2 linked regions of the Xenopus tropicalis genome follow. The protein of the gene in region 2 purifies or fractionates together with the protein of the main gene of each other region. This does not show direct contact. Links are inferred from orthologs where the notes say so. Each region holds a gene or a part of one and is shown on either strand. Other genes may lie near its edges.

Region 1 (4,967 bases), on a different chromosome or scaffold from region 2:
ATCAGTTTTTAAAATGTGCATTATTTGATTAAAATTGAGTCTATGGGAGTCTATGGAAGATGGCCTTTCCGTAATTCGTAACTTTCTGGATAATGGGTTTCCGGATAAGGGGTCCAATACCTGTATAAGGATAATTTAATTAAACATTAATGTAAAACAATATCAGTACAGGTATGGAATCGGTTATCCAGAAACACATTACCAACACATTCGAATTATGGAAAGGCCAGCTCACATAGACTCCATTATAAGCAAATAATTCTAATTTTTAAAAATGTATTTCCTTTTTCTCTGTAATAATAAAACAGTACCTGTACTTGATCCCAACTAAGATATAATTACCCCTTATTGGGGGCAGAACAGCCCTATTGGGTTTATTTCATGGTTAAATGATTCCCTTTTCTCTGTAATAATAAAACAGTACCTGTATTTGATCCCAACTAAGATATAATTACCCCTTATTGGGGGCAGAACAGCCCTATTGGGTTTATTTAATGGTTAAATAATCTTTTAGTAGACTTAAGTTGTGGAGATCCAAATTACAGAAAGACCCCTTATCCAGAAAACCCAAGGTTCCGAGCATTCTGGATAACGGGCCCCATACCTGTACCATGTTGTTGCACCAATATTTCTTTTCATTCAAACACAAAACATTAGCTTTGACTGGTTTAATGTAGTTATTAAAATAAAACCGAATAACCGGCTGCTATGAGTTAATGCCCTTTGGCCAGTTTTCCCCCATACTAGTAAAGGGGCAGCTAGCAGCTAGCAGGTAGCTATAAACTTCAGTATCCATAGTCCATAATGAGGCAAACAGTACAGGAAAGAAGCCTATAACTAATAACAGCTTATGGTTGTGCTTAATCATACAGTGCATTCAAGTAGTATCTCTCCAACAATGAACATATTTGCTCTGCCATCCTAATTACAGGCAATTTTAGTTACCCTTTATTATCTATTCCTGTAAGATAGTATCCGCTCTCCCAGCATGCAGTGTTTGATTTCAGGGAATAAAGGTCTCTAGAGAAAGCTGCCATATTACATCACCGCTACCTCCAGGCTACGTCATGAGTGTTGCAGAGAGCTTCAGAGTCAATGGATTCCCGCACGACTATCGGACAGCCGAAACGCCTAATCCCATGTTCCCGGGGGATTTACACAATCCAGCAGCTACCCAATCGCCATAATACCTGTGCTTATAACCCCCTGCACCTGCACCAGCCCTTACCTGTTTCATACGCCCGTCATCATTCCGCACGTCAGTTCCGCTTCGGCCGATACGCAGGCGCAGAAGAGCCTACCGACGCAGCGGCAGACATATTTGTATCGGCTTGTAAAAACCACTCGGGGTGGAAAGCACAGGTTTGAACAACACTCAAATATAGTGACATTTGTTATTTGAACCTTTATAAGCCGTAACTTCCGGTTGTTCACGTCTCACTTATGTTCTTGATGCTTGCATTATTCATTTGAGTCCACTTTAAAGATGGCGGCCACTGGTGAAGGCTGGGGGCGCTTCCGTTCTGACATGCGCAGTAGGTGACGCTGTATTTTTCCCTTGGCTGTGCTATAGATAGGGAGAGAGGCTAAAATGGCCAGTCAGGAGGATCCTGTGCAGAGAGAGATTCACCAGGATTGGGCCAACCGGGAGTACATCGAGGTGATCACCAGCAGCATCAAGAAAATCGCCGACTTCTTGAACTCATTTGGTGAGAGTGGGGGCGGCGCTGTGTCCTGCAGGGGATCCTTCCTAGGGCGTAGGGCCGGCAGGGCTGGGCACTGTATGCCTGGGCGATGGGCAGCGCCTGTGTATAGGATGCCAGCCTCTCCATCCTGCCCTGTTAACTGCAGCTCCCAGAATCCTCTGGGCCTTGTGCATCCCAGTAGCTGTACAGCCTCCAGTGTGACAGTGTCGCCTTGTTATTATCTTACCAATGGCCATGGTGCCTACACTATATAACCATGGCTTGCTACTCCATTACTTGTGTCAAACAAAAGCAATTTATACACTGTACTATATAGATCCCAGCATGTACATTGCAGTGGGTAATTACACTATATATAGAGTGAAGTGTAAGAGTGAAAGCAGCATTTACACTGGGGGTGTAATTAGTAACCTTATTGGGGATATTGCCCATAGTAACCGTCAGATCTTTGCTTTTGTTCTCTAACTGTTCAAATCTAATTGCTGATTAGTTGCTATGGGCAACATCCCTAGTGATGTTGGCTTTCACTCTGTAATAAATAAGCCCCATATGTCTATGAGCAGGGAGAGGGGGAGAATGAAAGCAGCATGTTACACTGTGTGAGTGAAAGCAGGTACATTACAGTGAGCAGGGGATGGAGGGCCCGCACAGGCTGTAGGAATGATGCAGTGATCATGGTGATGGTGGCTAATGGACCTGCCTCTAATGCTTCTTTCCTCACATCCACTAGTAATTGGGTCACTGGGATGCACTGAATCCAGGATTCTGCCAAGATTCTCACACAAATCTATGCCTCTCGCCAAACCTAATTCTTAAAATCAGGTGATTTTTTTTTTTTTAACCCTCAATTGTCCAATTGTCAGTTCGGTATTCAGCCAAATTGTTCACGAAGGATTTGGGGTTCTGCCAAATCCCCAAAATAATGGATTTGGTGCATCCCTATTGGCCACCTTTTCTAAGCAGTACATGAATCTGCATGGTTGAACCACAGAGTACATCCTGGTTGGCAGTATTTGCAAATTAGGGACACTTTGTTGCTGGGTGCCTTTGCCTTATTGTGCCACATCTGCCTCATGTGTGAAGCATAGTGCCATGGTTAAAGGGACCGTATGCCTTCTTTTTAAACATTGGATAATATATAGGTCTTGTGCTGAACATACTTTTGACTGTAAGGAAACGTTTATGGTTTTTTGTAAGCACCGCAGAATTAGAAATTGGGACTAATTTCACTAATATTGAGAGTATTGGTTGACATTGCTCTTTAGGACCAGGAAGGAAACTGTGATTTTAGTTCCATTTTCTAATTTTGCCATGTTTAGTGCAAGAAATAACAAAATCAGAGACAGGGCCACTCCTGCAATGAGGCAAGGCACACCACACATGGTGTGATCGGCCAGTTACCAGGGGTGGCAAAAAGCTGCCTCTGGTAAGTGGTCTGTGCACTAGTGATTCCGCCACCCATTTGACCCACTGATGCTGTAGTTGTAAGTGCAGGGTGGGAAAGGGGAGGCGGCGTCAGGGCTGCTCCCTCAGAAGGATTATGGGATTGGGAGGATGCAGGCTGAGGGCAGCCGACTACTTTATTTAAGTCTCAAAGTAGATCTGCAGAGGAACAGGGGGCTGGGCTTAGGGAACTGTTCCAAACCATATTAAAAATCATAAAAAAAACTGCATATTTTTTTAATTGATGTATTGCTTGAAATTATGTTTTCTTTTTAAAAAGCTTAAATTGTGTTTGGGTGGAGTTCCCCTTTTTTTTGCCCAGTTCCTGCAAATGTAGTAGTTCCTGTTAATGCAATGCATGTAAGTCTATCGGTATCTTTTATTTTTTGTTACACTGCAAATATAGGCAGTGCTCTCTATGGCTGACTTGTGAAATGCGTTGGTCAGTGGTAACCTTATACTCTGCTTTCTTCAAGATATGTCTTGTCGCTCACGACTGGCAACCCTAAATGAAAAGCTGACTGCATTAGAAAGAAGAATTGAGTATATAGAAGCAAGGGTATGTAATGTTATATGTTTTGATTTGGTGGGGGGCACAATGTCACATGGGGCATACTGATATTTTGTTTGTCACTAGGAAGCAACCATGGCATTAATAGGAACCTTTTATAGATCACCCTTGACCTGATATGACTTGTACATGCTGACCTTGTGACTTCCTGTGATGTAACCCCCAGAAATCTGTGGGTCTTTTAGCCACTGAAACAAATAGCATTGATTGAAACACCCTATGTGACCATCTAATGGAAATATATAATGGAGATATATTGCCCAATACTTTTGCCCCCACTGTTAATTTACTGGCTGGCTGACATGCACTGAATGCCACCTGAACTCTCCATATGCCGGCTATGTGTAAAGCCCCCTTTTTGCTTTTAAGCAAGCTTCATGTTGGATAAGCAAGAGAATCAAATGCTTATTCACAATGAACTAATAAAGCTCTTCTGTGCCAAAGGGCACATGTACCATCTCCCCGGCTGTCGGTACAGCAGCAAATGCCTTGAGACTGAGGGGTGGCTATTGGAGAAACCATCTGCATATCAAATAAATCCTTGGCCCTCTGCCAGTCAGCTTCAGCAATTTGCTCTTGAAAATGGCAGCTTAAAAATTACTTAAAGGGCCACTATACCCGCTAGCAGAATGGTGCTCACAAAAGGGCGTATAGCATTATATTAACTCGCTGTGCTAGCTGTGACAACCTTGGGCATTGTACCCTTATGGCCACATCCCAGTAATATATGCAGCCCTAGACACACACACACACTCTGGCTTCATGTATTTGTATTGTAACACAAGTGGAGGCCTAGGGAAGGAAGCTAAATAACAATGGCTGCTTAGGTGTGCTAGTAATACCTTCATACAACCTAGGCTAATAAAGCTAAAACAAGAAAAGCATACTTTAAAACATGGATATTTGAATTTAATATATGCAGATGGCAAATAAAGGTATAGTGGCCTTTTAAATAAATTGCAAAATAGGACACAGGCCAGCATAGCCTTACTTCTAATTACACTTCAAGGGCCCTTTTTAAAATGCAACATGTCAGCCATGTATGTAAGCACTTAAACCTCTATTTATTTCTTTAAATAAATCTTTAGTTTCTGATTGTAATTAAATAGTTGAACTATCATGTAGTTGCCCTTAGAATCTCACATTGTTCTTCCTTTCTTCCCCCTCCCCCCTTTCCTAATGCTTCTCCTCTGGAATGTCAGAATAATTCCTGTGCTGAGTAAAGCTAAATGTCTTTGTTTCGCCTG
Region 2 (4,831 bases):
CAGAGGCTTAGCGTTTGGGGCCCAAGCCCCCCACCACAGCAAGAAAACTTTTGGTCCCCCACATGGGGTGGGGAAACCCCAGCTCCCACTATGTATATGCGCCCTTGCTCCCTTACCTACCAGCCAAAGCAAGTGGCGGCAGGAAGCTGGAAGAATACAGTGAAACCCAGGACTGTGCAGGTCCCCAGCATTCACAGAGTCAGCTATATGCTAGTTACAAAACTGACTAGTAACTACAATATTGTTATTGGACTTTTTGGAACTGTATATTGCATTAATTTCTTCCCACAACAATGCCCCCTTACACATCTTCTTCCCCTGTGCACATCCACACTGCCTCATTCTTCCACCATCATCTATGGGTATATTCACTAAAGGTCAATATGAACTAACCCATGCATTATCACCTGAACTAGGAGGTAATATCTCATCTCTTGGTTCATCAGTGCAGGTCTACATTTGTTATTCTCATGGGTATTACCTCCAGTCAGATAACAATGTGATTTTACACCTAAGGGCTTTGGCACACGGGGAGATTAGTCGCCTGCGACAAATCTCCCTGTTCGCGGGCGACTAATCTCCCCGAAATGCCATCCCACCGGCGAAAACGTAAATCGCCAGTGGGATGGCATACGCGGCGGCGCGATTTCAGTGACATCGTGGAAGTTTCCTCTCAATAATGCTCACCTGATTTAGCCAGCTAAAACCAGCAAAACAATGCCCATGTATGTCATCTATTTTTAACGATAAACTACTTTTTTATGTGTAAAATACAAATTTTTGTTTCAAAAACAGTTTATTCCAAAATGCTGGGGCTGTGGCTAATGCCTATTAATGTTAATACCTCCCAACATTAGAAAAATATAAAGAGGGAAAAAAGAAAATGGCGTGTGTAGCGCCCATTTTTGCAACCACACCCCCTAAATATCACTCCCATTTTGCTAAAAAAAGAGGTGAAATTGCCCTTTACGTTAATAAGTCTCAGTTCCCCCAAGAGACATGTTTAGCTTATTGGTTACAATTGTATCTAAGTGCAAGTGTAGCTTGTTAATTTCTGGGCTCTCTGCCAAAAGTTACTTTTTAAATTAAGTTTGAGAAGCATTGTATCTTTTTAAGCTTCAGTGCAGGAAATCAAAGGGAAAATAGGAACTTTCAAAATCAGGACAGTTGGGTGGTAATAATAATGTGTATCTACTGCAACTCAAAAAGGTGTAAAATCTGGTGACATCTCGTTTTGTTAGGTGCTCACATTATAAGCGATATTAACTTATAAAATAACGCATCTTTACACAACAGTAGAACGTTTAGAAGCACCAGTTTCTCCGAAAAAAAGACCTTGAACCTAAAAGGTACAGCCAACAAGGAAATACTTTAAGCAACTGGAAACAAGTTGGTGACCGTGCCACTACAGCTTACACTTTACAAGTTCATAACACATTCCATAAGTACCTAACTTTTCTGCGTAAAAGTTTAGTTAAAAAAAAAAAATTAGTTTATTACGGCACCGAGCACTCAGCCAATCAGTGAAATAAAGGAAGAAAAATGCAGCCTACCAAAAGCCGAGCGGAAGCACTTTCATCCAATTAAAGATAGGAGGTTAGTGAAAGGAACCAATCTGTGAGGAAGAAACTGCAGCCGAAGCCAATCTTTGCTTTGCGTGGGCGGGACTAGGTGGGGCGGTGCCCGAGTTTGCTTCTGTGATACTAGTTCCCGGTGTCAGAAGCGGAGATCCCCCGGGTACAGGTAAAAAGATTCTTACACTGGTAGAATGTATAGCAGGATGAGCACTGCAAACTTTACTTATACTCTTCTAGATATTGTGCTATATATGGTGTGGCTGAAAAAGGAAACTTGAAATGCTTGATATTTGTGAATTGCATGTAATTACCGAAAATGTAAGTTTATACGATAGTTAACACTGTAATGGTAACAGTGGACAGGAGAAATAACCTCTTTCGCGTTTCTGTAGTAAAGTGTACATGGCATTTCTACTAATGCAGGTTCTTGTAAGTATTGGGAAAGTGCCTAAACAACATAGAAGTAGTGGCCTACATAAAAGTATATAGTGCAGCTGCTGGCTGCTTTGTATGTATGTGATTCTGCTGGACCTACACCTATTTGGGCCCCAGGATATTCTTATTAAGGCCTTTTATTTTCCATCACAAAGCTGGCAGTGACATTAGAAGTTACAGAGGCCCACAGCAAAGTTATTTTAGCCTCCAACCCAAACTTTGGAAATATAGTTTTCATAAACATAGATTAAAACTACTTATCAGTCAGTGTTCCACTGGGCCTTGCATCCTGTCCCTGAAAAACTAGGCCAACTTTTCCATATGCTTTTGTATATACATTCATTTAAATGTTTCAGTGGTTTTTTGAGTTATTTGTAAATGCAATTGCTTTTGAAAGCAGTATCGGTCTGGTTGTTTATATTCTCCGCACTTTTGATTCTGAATAGAAACAAAGTAGCAGCATCAAGTCGGTCAACAGAGATGAGCTGAAGGAGAACTGGCTTCTTCTACTTAGTTTCAAGAGTCAGAACCAGAGAACTGATAGGGATTAACAAACCTGCTTTTAATAGCAAATACAAAAAAACCTAAACCTATGGAATATCTTTAATGTATAGTGAAATGTTGCTTAGAATTACATGTTATTTTATTATGCAATAAATGTTTTTTGGGTAGAAAACCCCTGTAACTTGTTTCTTATAAGGAGACCCAAATTATCCAGAAGTTAACCTTATGACCCAAGAACTGGTTTAGAACAAATTATGCACCTTAAAGGAGACATATCCTATAAAAATTATGAATGTACCAGTGAATTATACTCCTCTAGATATAGAAGGATTGTGCTTAAAAAAGTTGTGTTTCAGACTGATTTATTGAAAAATTCCACAAAAACCCCACTAGCCCCGCCCATCTGTGCCACTTCCTACTGGCTGAATTCTCTGGATGAGCAGGGGAGCCGGCAGCCCTCAGTACACTGCACTGTAGGATAGGAACCAATCAGCAGCTAGGCTGACCTGATAGGGAACTGAAGCCTGTCTTTGCTTGTGGGAGTGCAGGGCTGTGATTGGCTCTCCCCGTCCTACTGTGCTTCTGGCAGGGACCGTTAGGACACGCCCACTCTTCATTGCACACTGGACGGAGAAGTGATAGGATCTATAGGGAGCTCCAATAAAGGGGCCATTGTTACAGATAGGATTAATGTTTAGCCCAAAGGGAAACCAGCACCGTATATTATTCATAATTGCCTACAGGATAAGGGTTTTTCCCATTTATCCAATATGTCTCCTTTAAATACGTTACTGCTGAAGGAAGACTTTTTTTTTTTTTTTATTAAAGATAATATTGGTGGCCAACTCTAAATAGCATGCGCCAATATTAATGTCTATTAATGTCCATTGTTATGGATATAAAGGATTTCTAGCAGTTTCCAGGTACAAATCTCCTATCTATTTATTGAAATAGTTTATTACCACTTATTTACTAAGATAGGTTGATTACTTAATACTGGGACAACCACCATCAGTAGTCTTTATAACAGAAGTGTTTTTTTTTTTTTTTTTCTTTCATAGAGAAATTTATAAACCACGTACTTTGTGAATTCACTTGCTAGTAATTGCGATCACTTGGCATTGATCAAGGCAGTTAACTGACAAATAAGCCCAGATCATATTTGCTTGGTGTCATTGCTACATGGCATAGGGTATAGTTTTCCTGATGCAATTAAAGATATTGTCTATGTTCTCCCTAGATGCATAGGCTTCTGATCAGTAGTTTACTTCTCATCCTTGCCTGTACCCAATAGGGCAGTTGTGTTAACTACTACTCTCTATGTGTGCATGATTTGCACATATTCATAACTTTATTGTAAGAAAGGGCACATTTCAAGCTAAAGCTTTTGTTACAGGATTTGATAGATTTAGAATTTGTTCCATATGGCTGTTGTATGTGGTAGGACCTTGCAGGCCCATGTCTTGTAATATCCATATTAAAGAGGTTATTCACTTTTAAATAAACTTTTCATATGATGTAAAGAGTGATATGTTTTGCATATTGCAGTTGGTCTTCATTTTTTATTTGCAGTTTTTAATTATTTAACTTTTTGTTCAGCAGCCCTCCAGATTGGAATATCTGTTTTATAGGGTCCAATCTAACCTAGCAACCAGGCAGTGGTTTGAAAAAGAGATGGATATGAATGTAGGAGGGCCTAAATAGATAGATAAGAAATACTAAATAGCATTAACAATAAATTTGTAGCCTCACCAGGGTCAGTGATTCCATTTGAAAACTGGAAAGAGTAAGGAAGGCAAATAATTCAAAAACAATCAAAAAAAAAAATTAAGACCTACTGAAAACTTGCTAGGAATAAGCCATTCTATACATACTAAATGTAAACCACCCCTTTAAGATCAATGTGTAGTGAGGCTTTACTGATCATTTAATTATTCTGAATTTGTATTTTGGTGTCAATGTGACTGCTCTTTAATGTTACCCATTAACCAGGAAGGCTTACAGTAATAGGTCAGTAACTGTTACATCGTTTCTATTTAGTGCACAGATAGTTGGACTATTTTTTTTTTTGTTCAAGTTATTGGTTCAACCTTTGGTGAGTGTTCTATAGGCAAAATATAAGGAAACTTTCCTGTATCAGTCCTAGTTCCCAGACTAGGATATATGTTTTCAGCACAAAACTCACCCTAACTGACATTCAAGATTAGTCTGAATCCTTCCTGCCTTGCTGTAGGCCAGGGATCCCCAACCATTTATACACGTGAGCCACATTCAAATGGAAAAAGTTTTGGAGAGCAACACAAGCATGAAAAATG

Evidence for each region. The genes of interacting proteins can lie anywhere in the genome.
Region 1: the proteins of wasf2 (region 2) and brk1 purify together in Homo sapiens (co-immunoprecipitation; 3 studies listed by BioGRID and IntAct, with this or other methods). This does not show direct contact. The link is inferred for Xenopus tropicalis from reciprocal best matches to the Homo sapiens genes WASF2 and BRK1.

Annotation. Positions count from the first base shown.
Region 1 is NC_030680.2:128,857,930-128,862,896, reverse strand, and holds the start of brk1 (protein BRICK1), read left to right. Parts: upstream 1-1,574; 5' UTR 1,575-1,591; coding exon 1,592-1,709; intron 1,710-3,625; coding exon 3,626-3,708; intron 3,709-4,967. UniProt on the Homo sapiens protein: Involved in regulation of actin and microtubule organization. Part of a WAVE complex that activates the Arp2/3 complex. As component of the WAVE1 complex, required for BDNF-NTRK2 endocytic trafficking and signaling from early endosomes.
Region 2 is NC_030678.2:78,053,602-78,058,432, reverse strand, and holds the start of wasf2 (wiskott-Aldrich syndrome protein family member 2), read left to right. Parts: upstream 1-1,715; 5' UTR 1,716-1,743; intron 1,744-1,746; exon of another isoform or gene 1,747-1,763; intron 1,764-4,831. UniProt on the Homo sapiens protein: Downstream effector molecule involved in the transmission of signals from tyrosine kinase receptors and small GTPases to the actin cytoskeleton. Promotes formation of actin filaments. Part of the WAVE complex that regulates lamellipodia formation.